Linked DNA regions of Kluyveromyces lactis. The protein of the gene in region 1 interacts with the protein of each later gene in a pairwise test. Links are inferred from orthologs where the notes say so. Each region holds a gene or a part of one and is shown on either strand. Other genes may lie near its edges. The genes, in order: SKP1, ROY1 and LUG1.

Region 1 (2,616 bases):
AGAGGCATGATTCGCAGATCCTGCTTTATGGTCACTCCCATCCATCAAATACACCTTATCATAGCTCGAATTCGACGATAATGCAGATGCATCATCATTGACATTGGGTTTCAGACTCGTAGACCGTAGCACACGTGTATTGCCCTGAGACTTTGGTTGACTCTTGTCCTTATCCTTTTTCTTTTCCTTGTTCTTCTTCTTGCGTTTGTTTAAATTTAGCAACGAACTAGTATTCCCGCTTAGCGATCTTAGTCTGGATTTGGTCTCCTCACCAATGGTCAACGTCATCACAATCCTACACCAAGTATACCAGTAACAAGGGTCCTATGGTGCATCTATCGATGCAGTTCTGCCTTGAATAGATAAAACCAGAAGCAAAAAGTTTCAATTTAAGGTAGCGCGTTCTTTAAATATTATATATAGGTACAAAAATGAAAAATTATCGGTGCAGAGACAGACCTTGAAGCTATAAATGCGATATGAAAGCGATCCCTGCGTTTGCCCATGACTCAAATTCACTACTTCAATTAAGATCCGCTTAACAAGCAAGTACTTAAATTATTGATTACATACGGGAAATGAGGGAAATTGCTATTTTAAACTGAAGAGGATGTAGATACAGAAAGAGAAAACAACAAGAAAACTTGTAAGTTTAACGGTCTTCTGCCCATTCGTTTTCACGTCTTATGGCAGCTTCTTCCTCTGGAGTGAAATCGTTAACGATATTGAAGGTCCTTCTGATTTCTTCAGGTGTTCTGCCCCTAATCATCTCCGCAACAACTTTACATCCAGCATCCAACAATGGCTTGATATTTAGATAGTTAGCTGCTAGAATAATCTCATATAACATTTCTTGGTCCACTTTCAAGAACTCACGGTCCCATGGATCCACAGGCGCAGCTTTCCTCGAATCGTCGTCATCTTCATCGGGGAAATTGGAATCCTTGTGATGAACGGCCCATTCGATCACTTTCTGTAATACTGACGACCTCACATTGGGCACGGGCATCACTATTTCATCGTCACCATCCTCTTCATCATCTTCGTCATCGTCAGCATCGTTATCATCATGCAAATCGCCACTGTTAAGATCTTGCAAGTAGTTCTTTAGTAAAAGTGAGCGTTCAGCGATCTTCCTGTCAACGACAAATCTCTCTCCCTCAACACTCACTAAAACAACGTTCTGGTTTTCCTTGGACATGATTTTCTGGTACTAAATAGAACCCACTTGGTAACTCTATGGTGCTAACTAACTACAAACACCAAGCTCCTATCCACTTGCAAACATTAACTGAGATGTATAACATGTTGATTGACAACCTGTTGGGAATTCGATTCTTTTCGTTATTTGACCTTAAGGAAAAGAAAATTATGATCACGTGGCCATTAAAGAAACAGGAAGAGAAACCCCGTAGTGCCAGTGAAAGAGTAACGTTAACTATAGAACTATCTACATACACGGTATGGAGCGATTTCAGTACTTGAATGGAGGGCCAAGTAAGGTTTTCATAGACCGAAGTTACTATATACGCATGCACTGAGATCGTCAAGTGCCGAGATGGAGTGTAGTTTCTGTAGGAACTTGTTGTTCATTGATACGAGTCCCGCTTTCAACATTTCGTTTGTGCAGTCTTTCGTGGCGATAGAGAATAATGCGATTTGATATGAATTTTTGGATATATCGACTACTTTGGTGTCGTCATCATTCGATTTAGGTTTCGATTTGCTGTTGACATTATCCTCGATTTGTTCCATGATTGTGTGGAATGTTTCATCGATTAAAGACTCCAGGACAATCCATGTTCCAGGTGATTGTAGGCATTTGTTGGTCTCTTGTACAAGTTGTTTTAGTAATAGATTATCCTCGTATAGTACTTTCAAAGCATCTTGTTCTAAAGTTTGTTGAAGAACAAATCTCTCTAAGTTAGGTTCAGGAAGTAGACATGAAATGAACATTTCATTCGATTGTGGCTGTTGAAAGAATTGCTTGTTTGTGGTGACGAATATCTTGCTTATCTTGCCACTGAACTCATCCATTGTCATGATATCTCTTGGGTTCGAATTTTGGAACTCTTCTTTCACCAATTGTTCAATGATACTCTTGTATTGTAGGTATCCACGGTTTAATAACCACCACGATAAGGATAAGAAAGCTTGTTCGTTAACGTATCTCGATTTTTCAGGGTTCGCAGTGGATGCAATGCTCCTTGTGTCCGTGTCAATAGTACCATCGCTGTTTCTTGGGTCAGCTTTTTCACTGGGTAAATTGTTGCTCTTTTCAGTGATCCAACTAGAGAACCAAGATAAGACTGAGTATTGATTAGCCTTCTTTTCCCTTTCCTTTTCCATGGCAGAATTGATGGCAGTATCCAAATACTCTCTTCTTGCCAATATATTCAATTGCAATCGGGTTAAAAGCATCAATAATGATGTGGTATAGGACAAGATAATGATCTTGGTGATAGCTTTGAGTTTCAAATCGTCCCAAAGCTCGGCCTTGGATTTCGTAGACGTTTCAGAAACGCTAGTGGTATCTGCAGATTGCGGAGATTTCGCTGACACACTGGGTGCAGGCGTCATCGCACTCATTCCTGAACTTAAGCCCTCATTTTCCAA
Region 2 (3,638 bases), on another chromosome or scaffold:
AAACGTTCAGCCCACGTCGTATTACAGTCACGTTGCTGGGAAGCCTGGCATTCATCGCTGAAACTTTCAATAGCGACATAATTCCCACCTGCACCTACTCTTCCCTGCCCTTGATTCAGCTATGCGACAACAATGTCAATAAGCTTGATGGATTTGTTTAAGAAACTATCTTCAAACAATTTATTGTAGTAACCCACCAGCTAAAGAGCGGGAAAAAAAAACGGGTAGCAGAAAGGATCAGATATAGTTCGGTCCTGAATTGGGCTTAACTAAGGCTTGGTTCACTCACCAATTGTAATGGATATCCTTAAACAAGTTGTACTATGACCGCTCATCTCTTCTCTCACACCATGTCCTTCAAATTTTTTGATACTTGAAGCTATCATATTGAACGGTAAAGCTATAACATAAGCAGATCAGACACAAATATAAAGGTTTGTGATCATACTATCAGGGGCTGCCACTGCACAATTGCGGCGAATGTTCACCACGTCAGTGCTTCATTGAATTCTTATAACTTACTTTTGAACTGAGTAAAATCGATTTTCATTATCTAGTGAAATCGGAGATATCATGATTTGTATAAGATACATAACACAATATACATTGGATTGGTAAGGTGAATTACCTATCGTATTGAGACGAGAACTGGCGATCATCTGATACTTGGTAATAAATACCTGATAGAAGACAGACGGTTAAGTTTGGGAGGAGTTTCACCAAAGTTTTCATGTAGTCATCGAAGAAATGGGAAATCACCTGCGTTAGATGGGTATATGCAGATTCGTCAAAATGGCAGTTATAGTCCTGGAAATGATAGACGTTTTCGTATCCGTGAAAATCCCACATTTGTTGCGTCGGAGAATACTGCAATGCTTTTAAATCCCAATCTGTTTCGGTCAGGAACCTACGACAAAGTGAATCACCAGCGTATGCAAAGAAAACAGTCGGTATTATGTCCTTGTATTGGCCTTCCTCGTAAGAGTAGTATTGATGGTTCTGAATGAATTGGTCGAAAATATCTAGCACTTTAGTGCATTTCTCACATTCGCAACCATTCCATAAGAGATCACATACAAGAATCTCATAGGAACTCAACGATTGCAAGATAGTGGGAGCAAATAATTTCTTCAACGATTTCAAATGAGGAAGCACCTCTTCATACAAAGTTCTTCTTCTGATATAGTTCCCCTCAACACTATCCTTCTGTATTCCATTAATTGGGCAATTGTGTCTGACACTTAAAGTCTGTAGATTCTGGCTTACATTAGGTAAATGTAATATGAATCTGTTTATGGAAAGATCCCAATTTTCCTCAGTGTAATGGTCACCTTGAGTAACGAAAGTTTTCTCGATCAAGGCAAGGTTCCTCAAAGATACTAATTCGCTAGAGATTTCGGACAAAAAATCATCGATGCAAGTACATTCCGACATCTCACATGCTAACTCCATTTCTAATGACTGTAACTGTTTCAACGGGATCACTTCTTTCAAGAAATCAGCAGTCAATTCACGATACGTCTTGTTATAATCGTGTATGCCATGGACATGGTTGAACTTCACACTCTTTAATTTTGTGAATACCACTCCTTGTTCCTTGAAATAGTAAAACACTCTAAGAGAAGAAAACTCTATGTCTTCTATCACCAATTCCTCCAAGTTTGCCAAGAGTTTGAATTTCACTGCATCAGACAATATGACATTATCAAACGATGGTAATGTCACAAAAATCTCTAGCGATTTGAGCTGCTCAAGATCTGATATATCGTTCAAAGAACCAATTTCTTGGATTCTCATCACCTTAGATGGTCTTATACCTTTCAACTTCTCTTTGTTAGCTTGGAAGAGAACGGAGTCTCTAATATCCAAATTTGTTACTTGATTTAACGATCTCACACTATCAATTAATCGTTGTAATAACGGCATACCGGCCTCTGTATCATTGAATACATCTTCCTGAACTACCAGAGTCCGTATCAGATACAAATGTTTGCTTTCTAAAAGTCTGCATATCCTATCGTATAAGAATAAATCATTTTGGTCGTTACTCTTGGTTATAGATCGATACCCAGCGACATACGTTTTCCCACACTCAATCCACCAGTCTTTCGAGCGCAATACTGGATTCTTATTAATTGTGATATCAGCGTATAGTCGAGGAGTCGCCAACTCATTGAAGCGGCGACTTACCAGACAGAGTGACGCTAGATCGTTCTGGTTCAAAAAGTTAGCCACATCATCAAAAACGTCTTCCAACGAAATACCTTGAGTCATTATCTAGAAGAATCCTCAATCCTAAGTTCAGAGGAACAGAATACAGTAATAAGGATCGGTTTCACACAATAGATTTCTCTCAATTCAAACAACAAGCCGGTAGCGACAATATAATTCAATTTTATGTGTGTTTCTTATAGCTCATCACCTTATTTTAAGCACCTTCCTTTCCAACCTTTTTTTTGTAAACTTTCCCAACGAAATACACTGGGAATAATAGTGTACGGACATAAAAAATAAACGACCCCGGAGAGGATTGAACTCTCGATCTTGCGATTAACAGTCGCACGCCTTAACCAGCTTGGCCACGGAGTCATGTTGTTGTTAATATGACAATTAGATGTGCACTATAACCTGATAGAGCCATCACATATGAGGCTATTCCTTATACATGGATCTACGTATCTCCGGACGTCATGTAATGGATTAAAATGCAGGATGGTAATATATATTCTTATCTAGCATATGCTAATATCTTATATTGGATATAAGATTTGATAATCGTTGAGGTGATCTATATTTCAAAAATTAAGGGATGACAGTTAAGCAATTCTAGTTTGGCGTCTATCTCTGAAAGATCTTCACCGAATGATTGCAGTAGTTTTCTCTGGAGAGAAAGCTTATTGAATATTTCAGGGTTTGATCCCCATTTGAAGAAACCATCTCGGTCTTCTGCTTTAAGGCCAGAAACAACATCAGATAGGTTCTGCTTTACCTTTTTCAGTTGGATGGAAATTGGTAGATGGCCTAATCCCTTTAACATGGCAATCGTTTGAGTTCCGAGCTGCAACTCATTTCGATATTGGTTGTCCTTCTCTACATCAAATAGCTCGTTCTCTGCACTGGAGTTCACATTGCTGATCATAAAACCTTCGTATAATTGCTCCAAGAGCTGTATCAAGGTGAGGCTGATGTCATCTGAACGAAATATTTGTGGGAGCATCTCTGCACACCTCAAACTTGTAGAGTAAGGAGAAGAGTTTAAATTTTTTTCTACCACTTGCAAAACATGTTCATTGATAAACCTAGCCGTCATTAATCTGACATCTGAGGAATCGTCAAAGAGCTGTTGATAGATCCTGAAGAGGATTTTGTCATCTGGTGCCGAACGGTAAGAATGCATCAAACATTGGGTTGCAGAGAGCCTCAAATGGTCGGGACTCTCATCTGAAATGTTGCTATCGATCAATTCCCAGAAAACGGATTCCGGTACGTTTTCGAAAACGCTGATGTTCTCTAACAAACTACTTTGTAACATCTCACTTTTATCGGAAGCTAAATCTAAGTACTTGAACGTTTTCACCTTGATGTTAGCCATACGCAATACTGTTAGAGTATCAGCTTTCACTGCACACCATTGATTC
Region 3 (4,134 bases), on another chromosome or scaffold:
GATGAGGAGACAACAAAGGAAAGGAGGAAAGATGCTGGTATGCAGTGTCTTTAGATTGTTTTTTCTAACACACAGTGCTCAATGCAGATATTACTCACTGTAACACTAAATATAAACTATTTGCATCTCTTACTAGATCAGGTTTTCCCAAAAGAAGCCAGTCGAAAGTACCTGTCGTTAAATTGCACTTTTTTTCATTCTCGAGAGACAATCGTGCACTAAAAAAAAAAAGCTCCTACGAACCCAGCAATGGGGTGAACAGAAAAGGCATAACAGTTGCCTTTTGTTTATTTATTTCCCAATTAGGTATAGTAATGAACTGCCAGTCAGCTACCCTGACTGTGTCTATGGCCAAACTGCACAAAGGAAGCTATAGGACGGGATGCAGGTACCAGCACTGGGTTGCATAAGAGGCCCGCAAACTTTGTGCGAGCGTGATGTGAGGTGTATTTATTATTAAATTTAAATTTCTCTAGACACAGTATATGCGATTTGTCACAAATGATTCACAATTTACATAAAAAAGGGCAAGCTTGATTAAGTCTTGAGAGAATAGTAGCGATACATTCCGCGTTCCACAGTGCCAAATACTTTGTATTCTTGCAGTTGCTCGTAGTGGATACGGTACCGCTTGTTCATTTCTGGTTCATTAGGGTCATAAACGTAATCTGCACTTAGTTTGTTTTTGTCGTTTTTTTTATAGTGTTCAGAAGAAGGAGTGGACAAGTAGTGTGGCAAAGACGTTTGGGATTGAGATTGAGACTGTGAGTGTTGCTTGAATGCATTCGTCAGATTGGATGTGTTACCGTTATTGTTGTTGTTGAGGTTATTTTTGGAAGAAGAACGATGATAACTATTGAACAAGCTCATCTGTGATCTTCTTCTCTGAAGTTCAGGATCGTTCAAATAATCATAGTCCGTTTCAGCATTCTCGTATTCACTTTCCGTAAGAGTGGGATCTGCAGAGGTTGCGGATCTGTCCCAGTAGATGGCATCTCTTGTGTTTTCTCGCACAAGAGGTGGGCGCGTCTCGGGAATCGAAGTAAGCGATTGGAACGAGTTATGGATTATTGGACTATTCTCTTCAATTGTACTTGCGTCATCTTCTGTAGTAGTATCCTCGTCATCATTTCTGATAAGCCTCCATCCACCAGGTGGGAGTCTTGGTGAGAGAATAGGCATTGCGTGTGTGCCTGGTGTGGCGAACCGGCCATCTCTATTGAAAAATCTTGAAATTGGAGGTTTCATGTCTTTATATATTAATCTTCTTCTTGCAGAATTCATTGGAACAATACCACATCCTAACATGATCTTGTTTTGGGCGAATTTAAGAAAGTCGGGTTGCTTTACGATCTCAATGATCTTTCTCCCATCGGAATCGTATCTGGTCAATGAGGCTGCTTGGTCGATATTTTCACGATTCAAATATGGGTCACACTTGTATAGCCAATACCTTCTACCATAAGATGAATCGATGTAACATTTCCATTTGACGCTTTCCATGTTCTTTATATCTTGAATAATTGATGTTCTTCCAGTCTTGTTTTTGAAACAGTTCAATTCATGACGATCATTCAGGTTTTCAATCTGCTGCCAAGAGTCAAATGATAATTCCAATGACACTAAAGAATCGGAACATGTGAATAATGCAGGATCCTGGATGGTCCATCGATTAATATAGGAGTTGTTCGAGATATTTAAAAATTTTAACTTTTGTTCAACCTCGATGTCACTATCATGAACAGGTGATAGGAACTGTATTATTCTATCGTAAGGTACATTAGTATCCTTTATATTCAAACTTTTCAATGCTGGAAAATTCAACTTTATAAACTGTAAGGAATCATGGCACTGATAATAGTGCGGAGTTTTGATTAGCGTGCGGTCATCTGAATAGTGCAATGGCAGTCCTCCGATGTTAAGGTATTCCAACGTTTTATTGTGTCCATATTGACATAACTTCTTTAACAAAAACAATGTCTGCGTATCGGTCCATGTTGACGTATGTGGATGCACTTGCACGTTTAGCCATTGTAGCGTACTATTGTTATTTTCATCTGTTACAGCTGGATGGTATGAAAAGAACTCCAAAATTCCTCTTGGCGTCAATTGCAAACATTCTCCAAAGGATAAATGTGTCAAATTTTTCCAATGTGGTAAATTATTTATTAGAGTACCATCGTCAATAGCAGTATGCGTTAAATCTAACTTCTGTAACTCCGGCAGAAGGTTCAATAGCTTTGAAAGGGTATTATCTGGAATGTCTGTACAGTCATTCAAACCTAGACATGTAATCTGAAAGTTTTCACGAGAACTTGGGTGTGCCGCCATCTTTTCTACTGCTGTAACAAACTGTTTTGTGAAAACGGATCCGGAACATCCACAGAAATCTACCACACTCAACACTGTTCCAGGAGAAAGTAAGAAATGGACTATCCTCTCGTCTATATCTCCCTGAATATGCTCACTGGCTAGAAATTCCCTTAGCGTATTTTTGGTCAATAATAAGAATTCCCAAAGAGTTTCATTTGTGAGGTTTTTGATCATCCTATTCATTTCTCCAGTCCGTCCAAGACCAATCGATGTTAACTCTTGAAAGTCTGCTACCTCTACCAACTTTCTTAATCCAGGATCATCCTCTTTTAAAGTGTTTAAAAGCTTGTGGAATGACCTTGCTGTAGTAAAGTTCAAATATCTATAAATGAGTACTCTGCATACATGATGGAATGTCCTGTTAACAGTAGAGTTCGATCCTAAGAAAGTTTTGATATTGGAGTGATATTTCTCACTAGTAGCTGAGTGATCATTAGACATAAGATCCTTGAACTGGTATGATAAGATTTCATAGACTATCTCTGAAGGTAACCGCATCGTCGATGTTTCACTGATCATATTGAACGAATTATGATATGCGAGCCCCGAATAACACGTTTTATACACTTCACCAATCCTTAAAGCTATTTGCACCTGTTTTGGTGCTCTTGATGATTTCTTTAAGATCCACTTTGGTTTTCATTTTTTCTTCTATTGATGCGGGTCTTTTGTTCAAGTTCTTGTTCATTCTAATTATATCGCTACTTTATTTTTCATTTCAGGGCATAAAGTACACTTAAGGTTCATAAGGGATCAAAGAGTATGAAAAACGTGATGTGGTTATTCGTAGCTTTACTTAGTTATGTAATTAACTATATGATTGTCTAATATGAGTATGAGAATTCTTGTATTACTTTTCCTCAATTTGACAGACTAGGCGTCCTAATGAGAAGTACCCATGAAACGTAAAATCCTTGAGTCTCAGTACATTCATTCAAAGACTATGCGGATAGTTTTTTTTTAGTTCATAGAATATCGAACATATCAATTTAGAGGCTTCATAACTTCACCATAAAGCATCTTTTTCAACAGTTCCAGTGGAATATCGTCTTCCTCGTTTTTATCGCGGGCCTCGTTGTCAATTTTCCAAAAATTGTCTTCAAGGTTTAGTTGGGGATAATCTGGCTCGTCATCTGGATCATGATATGTTGCCAAATATGGATGTTCCAACGCTTCAACTGCACTGATCCTCTTGTCTGGGTTGAAAGTTAGCATCTTGGACAATAAATCGATAGCAAGAGGGTTAACTTCTTTATTTAACACATTAGCCCAGGGTATACCTTTCTTCATGGGTAGTTGAGATATGTATTCTTTTGCCCTTTTACTCTTGATTTGTTCAAAGTCTTCCAAAGTTGGAGACCCTAAAACTTCTAAGATGATCCAGAGTTGATGGTGGTAATCTTTACCTGGGAAAAGCGGCTTACCCATGATCATTTCTGCTAGTATACATCCACATGACCAGATATCCATTGCAGTTGTGTATTCTTGGAAGGACAACATGATTTCTGGAGCCCTATACCATCTGGTAGCTACATATTCTGTCATGAAACCCACCATATTCTCTCTTGATTGATCACTCGATGCCAGGCAACGAGCCAACCCAAAATCACACACTTTGAGATCACAATTGCTATTCAGTAACAAATTACTTGGTTTCAAATCCCTATGGATTACTTGTGCCGAATGTAGCGATTTTAAAGCCCTTAGTATTTGATAAACGAAATATTGGATATGATCCTCTGATAAATTTTGTTGGTTGAT

The links.
Region 2: the proteins of SKP1 (region 1) and ROY1 interact in binary tests that used the Saccharomyces cerevisiae proteins (3 or more experiments, as listed by UniProt). The link is inferred for Kluyveromyces lactis from reciprocal best matches to the Saccharomyces cerevisiae genes SKP1 and ROY1.
Region 3: the proteins of SKP1 (region 1) and LUG1 interact in binary tests that used the Saccharomyces cerevisiae proteins (3 or more experiments, as listed by UniProt). The link is inferred for Kluyveromyces lactis from reciprocal best matches to the Saccharomyces cerevisiae genes SKP1 and LUG1.

What each region holds. Positions count from the first base shown.
Region 1 is NC_006041.1:1,507,233-1,509,848, forward strand, and holds SKP1 (SCF ubiquitin ligase subunit SKP1), read right to left. Parts: upstream 1,202-2,616; coding exon 653-1,201; downstream 1-652. Other genes in the region: YSP2 (Ysp2p), read right to left, coding at 1-288; PEX3 (Pex3p), read right to left, coding at 1,507-2,616.
Region 2 is NC_006038.1:761,403-765,040, reverse strand, and holds ROY1 (Roy1p), read right to left. Parts: upstream 2,275-3,638; coding exon 625-2,274; downstream 1-624. Other genes in the region: PET111 (Pet111p), read right to left, coding at 1-79; tRNA methylation protein TRM732, read right to left, coding at 2,789-3,638. UniProt on the Saccharomyces cerevisiae protein: Non-SCF-type F-box protein involved in the endocytic with the vacuolar sorting pathway. Acts as a repressor of YPT52 by inhibiting the formation of active, GTP-bound, YPT52. Involved in the defense mechanism against methylmercury toxicity.
Region 3 is NC_006037.1:218,904-223,037, reverse strand, and holds LUG1 (Lug1p), read right to left. Parts: upstream 2,893-4,134; coding exon 538-2,892; downstream 1-537. Other genes in the region: mitogen-activated serine/threonine-protein kinase KSS1, read right to left, coding at 3,358-4,134. UniProt on the Saccharomyces cerevisiae protein: Substrate recognition component of a SCF (SKP1-CUL1-F-box protein) E3 ubiquitin-protein ligase complex which mediates the ubiquitination and subsequent proteasomal degradation of target proteins. Probably recognizes and binds to phosphorylated target proteins.